2 linked regions of the Daphnia pulex genome follow. The protein of the gene in region 1 interacts with the protein of each later gene in a pairwise test. Links are inferred from orthologs where the notes say so. Each region holds a gene or a part of one and is shown on either strand. Other genes may lie near its edges.

The links.
Region 2: the proteins of GTPase Era, mitochondrial-like (region 1) and trimethyllysine dioxygenase, mitochondrial-like interact in a two-hybrid assay, tested with the Drosophila melanogaster proteins (2 studies listed by BioGRID). The link is inferred for Daphnia pulex from reciprocal best matches to the Drosophila melanogaster genes CG7488 and Tmlh.

What each region holds. Positions count from the first base shown.
Region 1 is NC_060021.1:6,372,878-6,377,566, reverse strand, and holds GTPase Era, mitochondrial-like, read right to left. Parts: upstream 2,931-4,689; 5' UTR 2,826-2,930; coding exon 2,401-2,825; intron 2,325-2,400; coding exon 1,850-2,324; intron 1,790-1,849; coding exon 1,609-1,789; intron 1,548-1,608; coding exon 1,378-1,547; 3' UTR 1,351-1,377; downstream 1-1,350. Other genes in the region: uncharacterized protein LOC124193405, read left to right, coding at 1-445, 517-1,181; LIM domain kinase 1-like, read left to right, coding at 3,798-3,816, 4,209-4,311, 4,405-4,519, 4,573-4,689.
Region 2 is NC_060024.1:8,486,723-8,492,409, forward strand, and holds trimethyllysine dioxygenase, mitochondrial-like, read right to left. Parts: upstream 3,620-5,687; 5' UTR 3,293-3,619; exon of another isoform or gene 3,118-3,292; intron 3,059-3,117; exon of another isoform or gene 2,939-3,058; 5' UTR 2,937-2,938; coding exon 2,801-2,936; intron 2,458-2,800; coding exon 2,358-2,457; intron 2,247-2,357; coding exon 2,131-2,246; intron 2,046-2,130; coding exon 1,637-2,045; intron 1,550-1,636; coding exon 1,325-1,549; intron 1,257-1,324; coding exon 986-1,256; 3' UTR 925-985; downstream 1-924. Other genes in the region: cytoplasmic protein NCK1-like, read right to left, coding at 1-101, 188-209; U3 small nucleolar RNA-associated protein 18 homolog, read right to left, coding at 3,816-4,081, 4,154-4,351, 4,410-4,578, 4,648-4,845, 4,915-5,100, 5,170-5,365, 5,435-5,687.

The DNA.
Region 1 (4,689 bases):
TGCTGTCCAACCGACTGCAGCTGCAGCAGTTCTAGCAGCAGTGACTCTAGCAGCTCTAGTAGTGGAAGCAGCAGCAGTGACAGCGATAGCGATAGTTCCAGCAGTAGTAGTTCCAGTGAGGAAGACGAGGAGGTGGTAGAGAAACCGCCAGTGCCAGCAGTCGTTCAAGCTCCCGAAGGAGATGAGGCGGATGTTGACATTGAAAACAATAGCGAACCTCCAAGTTCCTTGGAATCCTCCTCAGATTCCGAAAATGGGGTCGAATCGGATGCCGATATCAGTGTGCACGAATCGGACCTAGAAACAAGTGATTCCGATTCGGAGAACAAGAAGCGGTCGAGGTTTGCATCACCTAAAGCTCGGAGTGATTCTCAAAAGAAGCGAAAGAAGAAGAAAAAGAAGAGACGAGCCTTGAAAGAATCGTCACTGAACTTCAATTTGGAAGGTATTTGGTTTTTAATTAGTCGTTTACTTAAGAAAATAGACTATTAACGATTCGCTTTTTTTGGATTTTAGATCACCAGTTGCCTTCAACTGGCAACACAGTCGACGACATCATCAACGCGGTGGCTAGCGGTCTCTACAAGCGGTCTCTCAAGAGGAAAAAAGAGCCGATTCCGATGTTAAACATCATGCCACTTCCTGTAAAGGAGATCACTATGGCACCGCCACCTCCGGCAGTTAATGTAGAGCAGAGATCCGACTCTAAGCGTGGACGAGGTCGGCGTAAACGGAACGACGATCTCTACTGGTACGAGGGTGACAGTTTGGAAGAAAAAATCAACCCGGCCGCTTCAACTAAAAAAGTGAAAACCATCTCGAAAAAGCCGGGGCGAACGACTGCGAAATTAAAATTTACTCACAACTATGACGCAATTCCTCCACCGCCTCCACTCTCTCCGGCGAAGGTGATGAAAACACCCATACATCCAGTACCTTCGTTTGAAGATCCTGACAGACTTTACTGCTATTGCCGATGTCCTTACGATGAAGTTTCACAAATGATTGGCTGTGACGCTAGTGATTGTCCCTATGAATGGTTCCACTTTGAGTGTGTTGGCATTTCAGAAGCACCCGAAGGAACTTATTATTGTCCTGAATGCAGATTGAGACCCAAATACCGAGCTCTGTTTGATGAGCCGTTTTTCCAACCTCAACCACCTCCTCAACAGATAATTTAAAAAATTAAGAAAAATCCTGAACAAGGGTTGTTAAGATTATATCTTTTTGAGATTTTGTCCTACCCCATCGAAGAGACACGTCTTCTGCTTTAGTTCTGTAAAGACATCATGAAAGTGAGAAGAACACAACACCAATTTTGAATACACGTCAATTGTACACGACCAAGAATTACATACATTCTTTTATTACTTTTCTTTACGCCGGTTCTACAACGATTTTAAGACGAACTTCTTGACGGAACATGTTTCTCAAATCTTGTTCTGCTTCTCTAGCGAGCTGAATTACAGTGCGACCACCAGTGCCGACAACTACTTTAGCAGTGAATTTTTTCTGACAATCTAAAGCCATCACGATGTTCAAGGTACCTATGCCGTATATGAAAATGTACCACAACTAATCCTCTATAATAGTTTTATTTTTATTTACCTGATAAATCTTCTTCCCAGTATCGAACAGATGTATTAATCGAATATGGCAATTCTTTATCCAGAATATCTAGTAGTTTACCTCTTATTATGGCAATTGCCATTTCATGAGGGTTTTGATCCGTTACTACCGAAGAATTGTACATCCACCGACCTGGCTTAGCAGCTCCATACAGATGTTCCTTTGAGAAAGAAATTTGGGTATAAAAAATTAAAATTTTAATCTACCGATAATTACGAACCACTATGTCCGAAACTCCGTCTCCGTCAATGGCAGATATCATAAACACACGAGAAAAGTTGGGCCAACCCATCTTTCCTTCGATCCTTTTTGCCACTTCCTTCTCTGACATACTTCGTGAATTGGTGGGTTCCGATAACTCTGTGTTGCTTTCATTGACAGTGGACATGTCACTGTTTTGCCGACTCATTCTTCGTTTTCGTGGATCAGTATTTGATGCTATTGATTTACCACCAACTATGCCTTCCGTCAATTTGTTAGTGTAGTCTAGAAGGAGGCGCTTTTCCTTTAATAAATCAATTTTATTCAATACTAAAACCGATTCTTTGTCGGGATAGAGATGGAGAAGTCTAAGGATTTTTGAACTCAAACTTCCTCTTGTCCATTTGTTACTGATGTCATGCAAGACCAAAAGTAAATTTGCTTTAGATAGTGCAACTTCAGGATCAATTACAAAGGATTTATCAAGATTAAACCTGAAAAGGAAATGTTCTAATGTTAATTATACAAATATTTTAAGAATAATTGTTATTTAACAATAATATATCCTACTGTTTGGCTTCAGCAGGTAGAACCAGCCCTGGAGTGTCGAGGAAAACAATTTGAGTTTCATCTCTGATTAACACAGTTTTCGACATCTTTTTGGTTGTGTGAACTTTTTTGGAAACTGAGCATGTCTGCCATCCAGAAAGTTGATTGACTAGAGTACTTTTACCGGCATTCGGTATGCCAAGAATTGCAACTTGCAATACGCGGGAACCTTTCACATATTCAGATGGGGTTCTAACCAATTCACTTTGTATAGCCGGCGTAGACGGAATACGCTGTGACGGTGAACGAAATCCCGGTGATGGAGATTCTTGGGAAAAGTATCTCAATGTTAACACTCTTAAAGATGAATTCACACGAAACCATTTTGATTGATGTGTTAGTGAATGGCACAACATTTTTGTACCACAATTTATACCCACGTGCATCAGACGACTTCAATGACAGCTGATTGGCTGATGTTTTGGGCTTTGGCTGTATAATTTACGGGAAAGTGAATGCGGAATTATAATTTACGGAATTCGAAACTTGAGTCGACTGGAACTGGGACTTGGGAGTCGGCTACACTGCGCTACCTACTCTGTTATTTTTTAATAGGGAAAAATGTGCTCATTAATTTAAAATACTCATAAAAGTAGAACATATAAAAATAAAATAACCTTCTAGATTTTCCGGAAAGTTCTATGCTTCTATCTCAAACTAAGTTGTCCATAATGTCCACCATTCGATAAGATGGCGCTGTCCTCTCAGAGTGATAGGGAGAGCTTAGAAATCAAACAACAATTTTTATACGCTTTTTCTAACTAACATGCAAGTTGATATATCGTAATTGATAAGAATAAATAGCAGTTGTTAAATTAGAACACTGTTGAAATGCGCGAAAGGTGATTATGATAATGATTAGCGCGATGAGTGCACATCTTAATTTGAATTTAATCAAGTCACTCTATTGTCATTACTATTTCCATCGCCTGAACAGCACTGTCACCCTAAAAATGGGAATCCCCAGCAAAATAATTCAGTTACATTACGCAATTCCTCCTTACAGGCCGGCTAATCATACTGAATAATTTAAGATAACTGTATGCTTCATCTGAATGTCTGCCTTCTGTTATCTGGACTTCTTGAGTAACTAGTGGTCAACCATGTTCCGTGTCCAAAATACTTCTCCAAGTTAAATAAATAGAATAAAACAGATTTAAAAACATTCAAAGCGGGTCGGTCCTAGAGAAAAACTCGCGCGCGCAACAAGGGATGGGATCATAGGGTTCCGACGAAGGCCATTGGGTGATTAACTATCCGCATCCATTTCCCGCACTATATCTCCCCACAAATCCGAATCCCGAGAGTTACATTTGGAATTCACGACAGATGTTACATTAGAGAATGGAGATTCCTTCATGAACATGGAAACTAGAGGTTTGTTATCAATCTGTTTTCTGTTTCGAAACACTCGGTATTATTTAAGATGACTCTTAATCTTTGATGGATTTATCTAAAAAGTAGAGATGCAATTTAGTAGTTTCCCAAATTTTATCATATTTGAATCCAAAACAAATATGATAATTGTGAAATATGTTTTTTGTAAAGATAGGGACTAAGGGAGGTGTCATTGATTCAGTAAATTTTGTTTGCACGCTGTCGTGATTCATGCTTTATCAGTATTTGGATTAGAAATACAGCTTAAGACAGTAATAAATATGATAAATGTGTTGAATGCATGATTTGACTGTAGAACTATAGATTGTTTTATAATCGTGTGAGTGTTGTTTTATTAAATTAACTTGATTTGTTTTGTTTTTCTCTGATAGACGATGTGACTAAACAAAATGTTTGCTCTGCCTGCCTTAATCATATCCATGATAATGAGTACATTGAAGCTCTAAATAAAGAGTGGCACAGTGACTGTTTCAGGTATATGTTTGTCTTACAGCTGTTAAAATTTCAGCTATTTAATCCCTTTGCATCTGTCAAGATACTTAATTCTCAATTTGTTATCAAATGTAGGTGCTCTGTGTGTGATGAAACCCTCTCAGATTGGTACTTTGAGAAAGGTGATATTTTATTCTGCCAAATGCACTATTGGGCAAAATATGGACAGTCGTGCCAACAGTGTTCTCAGGTAATTGCTATTTTTTGGGTTCAGGAGCAATAACCTTATCTGTCATTGTTTAGTTGATAACTGGTGGTCCTGTCATGGTTGCTGGTGACCACAAATTTCACCCAGAGTGCTTTCAGTGTAGTTCCTGTCGTTGTTTTATTGGAGATGGCGATTCGTACGCTTTTGTAGAG
Region 2 (5,687 bases), on another chromosome or scaffold:
CAGCAATAGAAGTTTGTCATTCTTCCTTAAACTCAACTCCTGTGATCCTTGGGCAACATAATCATACTTTGCAATGACATAACAGTCTTCAATGGCTTTGCCTGAAACGAATGCAATAAACCAACATATAAACATCAACTAATGACAACTGCATAATGAGTCACCCTATAATAATAAACCAACATACCCATTTTTAGACTGCTAGACATTATGTTGTGCGACCCTTAGCGGACACCAATGAGCAATCACTGCCCAAAAATGCTTTGATTTTGAGCAATACTCAAGCTGAACGATGCAAATTCAATTCAATGACTCGTCTTTATCGATTTTAATCCTCGAAAAACTTTTCGTGGGCAGGGCCAGTTTTTAGTTAGCTGCCATGTTGAATACGATGCCTGCTGAGTTGCCATTTACTTTAAAGGCTAGAGCGGAGCTGACGAGAAATAAAATGTGAAATTTACATTGTAAAAAAAGTTTAGAATTTATAGAGGATTGATCCATCAATTTTGGTCATTGGAATGATTTCCGCGCATGCAATATCGTAACAGATTACGATTATTGCACTGTTGCATTTTCAAATAGTTGCTCAGCCAAGAGGGAACTAAGAGACTTATTTCTATTTATGCTGTACTTCATTTAGCTAGTTTGACTAGTATCCACGAGCCGCAGGTGAAACCATCCCAATCTTTCCACCTCATGATGATCGGGTACCATAACCACTGGACCACGCCAGTAATATCATTTATGAATTTTTTTTACTACACATTAAATTGTTTTATTCACATTTTATTTTTGCGGAGCTGACGAGTCTTTTATAATTTTTTTTAAATTGATGATTATTTATTTTCCGGTAATCATATTCAGTTTACATTAAATTCGAAAATTTCTATGCGTTTCCAAATGCGGGTTTAAAATAACAAATAATTTGTCTTGAAAATGGTATTGTTTTATTGTGCATTGACGAATTAATCGTGGCGCAGTTTAATCAAGATATTATTCCATAATGTCGCGCTTTGCTCATAAAGTCCGATCGGGAATAATAACAACCTCTCAATACTCTTTCACCCTGATAACTTTCACGCCCATGCAAGAGCCTCCAGTTATCAATTATCATCACGGTTCCTGGTGAGAGACGAAACCGATATTCGTTTTCTTTTTTCTTTACGAGCGTCGCCATGGTTTTTAGATAACGATAATGGGTACCGACTTCCTCTTGTGGGATACCAGAAAGAGGCGACCGATCTAGCATGTTGAACCTGAATAAAGAATAAATTTACTGTAATTAAAATAGAAACGCCTTTTTATTCAGACAAAAGTATCTTACCGAATCTGTTCCAACTTATGGCTCACTGGATGATGACGGAAGATGGGACCCCAAGAAGAGAAATGCTCACCTGGTTCAATATACTCGGCTTCCATATTTACTTTGGACAAATAATCGTAGGCAGAAGGATCAAGCTGTTTTAACTGCTTAGCCACGTGAAATCCGTCTACCAAGAAAGATTCGCAACCCGTCCCATTGAAATGAGTACAATGAAAAACCAAAAGCCTAAAACAATGAACGGATAGGATAGAAAAGGATAAATTCAGTTCAAAAATAAGAATTAAATCAACAAGAAAAGAGGGAAATCCATACCCTTGCGCTTCAGTAAAATAAGTGTTGTCTGTATGGGCTTCTAAATAGCCGTTCAGGTAACCCGTATCCTTATGGTCGAAATTGGTACCGGTTTCCCAAAACTTTCCAAAGACCGTGTGGGACATACGGCAGATACGCTCGATAACCGCGCTGGTGTCAAGTTTCGTTGGTGGTACTTGCTCTATTTTGACGAAGCCGTACTGAAAGACCCGGCGATATATTTCACGTAATATTTTATCATCACTCATCAGGCGTTGATGCGAAATGGGCTCTAAACCCAATAAATTCACGGTAGTTCCATCCCATGTAGTCAATCGGTCCGTCTCTTCTTGTAGTGCTTTGTACTTCCCGTCGTAAGTATTGCTAACAAGCCACGGGATTGAATAAGATGACTTATGCCCGTCAGACCCTATGAAACAAAGCAAAATAGGAGAGTAGAAATTTGTAATTATTGAATTTCTTGTTATGCAGTTATCTTAAATGGGAGGACTTACAGCAAATGTGCAATAAACCGTCGCTCTGTGAATAAGTTGATATCGCAATTTGATCACTCAATTTCAGGATATCGTTGTTTCTTTGACAGGTAACGTCGTTATAGCATTCTGGACACCTGCATACAGGAGAAAATATATCGAACAAGCTCCACATCACCTTTGGCGCGCTGCCGACCGCTCAAATAGAAAAAATGCTCCGGATGTGATATTTTTATATAATGACTTACCTACAGTGGTCTCGAAGCCAGATGGGGTGCAGCTTCAATGGTGCGCTAGTGTTGGGTAAATGTACATTCAGCAATTTTGGCCGGTCATAATGTTCGTTTTCTAGTAATTGAAAACTTGGTTGATTATTATGTTAACCATAATTTAAAAAATGAGACAAATCCGAAAAAGTCTCTAAACAAATTTCCATCGAATAATAATTGACTCTATTAATCATTCTGTATTTAATATGAGTTTAGAAAGCAAATAATATTTTATAACTGAAAGAAATTTTTTTACACTATTGAAAATGAACATATAGCGATGACGATTACCGAAAATTACTGATTTAGGTATAAGATCATTCTGGGGTGTAACTTACAATAAAAATGTCCCGCTATGTCGTGAGATAAAGACCGGATCTCACAAAAGAACTGTTAAATCTATAGTTCTATACTAGACCTACCTTGAATCTGAAGGTTACTTCCAGAAGAATATTTGCACAATATTTTCAAGGGGACTCTTTTAGTAGGCAGTAAAGTATTCTTTAAAAATCCAGAAGGCAATTTGGGCAGGATGGTTTTGAATTTTAAGATACTCATTTCTAAGCATCAAATAATAATGTTATAGCTTGTTTCTACTTGGGTGTTCACTTACAACTAAAACTGTAAGTTCACTGCCACTGTATCTACATCTGGATTATATGGCAGTTTTATTCAATGACCTAATAAAGATATTAAACATTTGGTCAAAGAACCAAACAAATTATCAGAAGCAATTCACCTTTGGAACTTGGAAGGGGGGCAAAGAACGCAACAATATGTGACGCACAGAAGGTATTTTACCCACAGATAGGCATGAAAAGTGATACAATAACTTCTTAATACCCTTGAATGGACACGTAGATTAATAGCTGTAGAAGGTTATCTAGAACTACAAACTTAGTTTGGGAAAATACCTTTGACAAGGTTTTTACTTTAATCCACTTTCAAATTTTTTCACGTTCAGGATATGCAGACGAAAATGAGATGGCGGTATTTACTAATTACTATTCCTGTTCTGTATGTGTTGCAAACTTGCCGCTTCTACAAATGAATCCGTACTGCACAGTCGGCACTCTATAGTCAGACTGTCAAGAGTTTTTAAAAACATTTTTTTTGTTTAAACAACAAAATCAACTACAGGGCGTGATCAGGCTTTATCTATGCTTGTTAAATATTTAAAGGGGTTCGTTGTAAATCTTCTGTTTCTCCTCTGTTCATCATGCTGTGAGTTTCTAAGCGAATATGAAATTATAAGACTAATATGTGCTTAATACGGTTGTAGTGTCCCAGTTCGCTTATAAGAATTAAGCAGTTAATTTAAGTTTAAGTAATATCTAATGGGAAAAAATGATACGGCATTCAGTCTGGTAACAATACTTCAAGTCAAAATTGAACCCCGTAATATTTTGTCAATCCATGGATCAAAGGTAATGTTATTTAATATTGATCGTAATGATGTAGTCGATAAAGATAAGCGGACCCGTTGTTTAGTCCCGCAGCCATGTAGCCTCCATTGGGAGAGAAATCCATCGTGTTTATACGAGCAGTGCCCTTATTCTGGATTGGGAAATTCTTGAAGACCGTCATTGATGGAAAGTGAGCCAGTCTGACGGCATTTTCTTTTTCGGAGGAAAATATGGATACAATTTCAGAACTTGGATGAAAGGTAATGCCGGATATCTTCGTCACTAAATTCAGAATCACTGCAAAATAATAATTAAAAAAAAAAAAATTATTTCACGGAGAGATTTTGGCAAAGAGAAATAGGCATTTACCTTTATCGGGTTTCGGGAGTGAATTATTTTCTAGCTGACTAGTGTTGTACAAGTTAACAACACCAGAAGAAGAACCACAAGCGAGATACTGCTGTGTAGGTGAAATAGCAATAGACGTTCCCTTAATACACCCGTCATCTACGAACTTATGGACACACACTTTAGCGTTCATATCCCACACATAAACTTCACCATTTTCTGGGAGAAAAAATTATTATTTAAAATTTCGAATGATTCGAGTAGTTTTTTTTTTTACCTCCATGACTATACAATCTAGTGCCATCTACGTTAAAAGTCAAGGCATGCACTTCTCCATTCATTTTTAAAGATGTAATCCATTCCTTAGAACGTGCGCTCATTAAATGAATATATCCATATTGACCTTGATAAGCTATTAGCTTCCCGTCGGGTGAAAGAACGAAGTCCTGTAAAATACAACCGAATAAACACTTTTAGACACTTGACTTGCAACATTAGAAATTAAAAATTTTTACTTTGTACGATCCCTTTTCCATTTGCTTGTTATGGGGAATGATTGTGTTCCTTCCATTCACCAAGTTATGTACTTGAATATTGCCTGTCACGCTCGAGGAAGCTATGACTTCTTCCCCATTCGCCGAGAAGCGAGCCTTGTGAATGGGAAATTCCTTGAAGGTGATTGACTGAATTTTAGCATTCAAAGATCCGCCAACCTAAATTTAAAAAATAATAATTACTTATAAGTAACTCACATAGCATATGACAAGTGTAATATAAAATACCTGGAAAAGTGTAAGTACTCCAGAATTTCCTCCTACAAGAGCAACACTTTGCTTTTTATGGAATTCGACAGAACTGATGACCCGTCCTTCTGCTCTAGTTTCTTTATTGATATCTAACATTCGCGAAAATTTAATTATTTCTTGCGGCAAAGAAATAGAATCCTTCCTTAAAAGATCTGTGGCGGTCTAGATATAAAGTGACAAAATAGTATCATTAAGAAGATCATGCAACTCCAGTTACAATTTAAGTTTTACTTTGGTCAGATCCTCTTTTTCATCGTCACTGTCCTGGTCTTTTTTTCCCTTTTTATTCTCTAGTTGAGCCCATTTAGGAGTAACCTGACCATGAATAGATGCAAACCTTTTCTCCAGGACCTGTTTGTATACAGTTTCTGAAGTGGCCTTTTCACCAACCAGTCCCTTTTCTTTTTGAAACTGTACATTTTTACACCTATTAGAATACAAATAAATCAATATAAAATGACAAACAATTATTTAAATAAATAGTGTGATATCTTACTTTAAATCTTCATCATCTTCATCAACCCAGACTGCTTGCCTTCCTGCTGTTGAACTTAAACCTAGATTTTTACCATAGACATCTTCTGGAAGGGAATCTTTCGCTTCACTAGATGCTTTGTTGGAGATTTGTTTTCTCAATTTTTTTTTTGAAGCAGAACTTTTGCTCGTATCTTTTTTAGACTGGGGTTCTTGTTCCAGTTTCTTAAACAATTCCCCAAATAGCAACTCTTCCAGTCTCTTTTCTTCTCTTT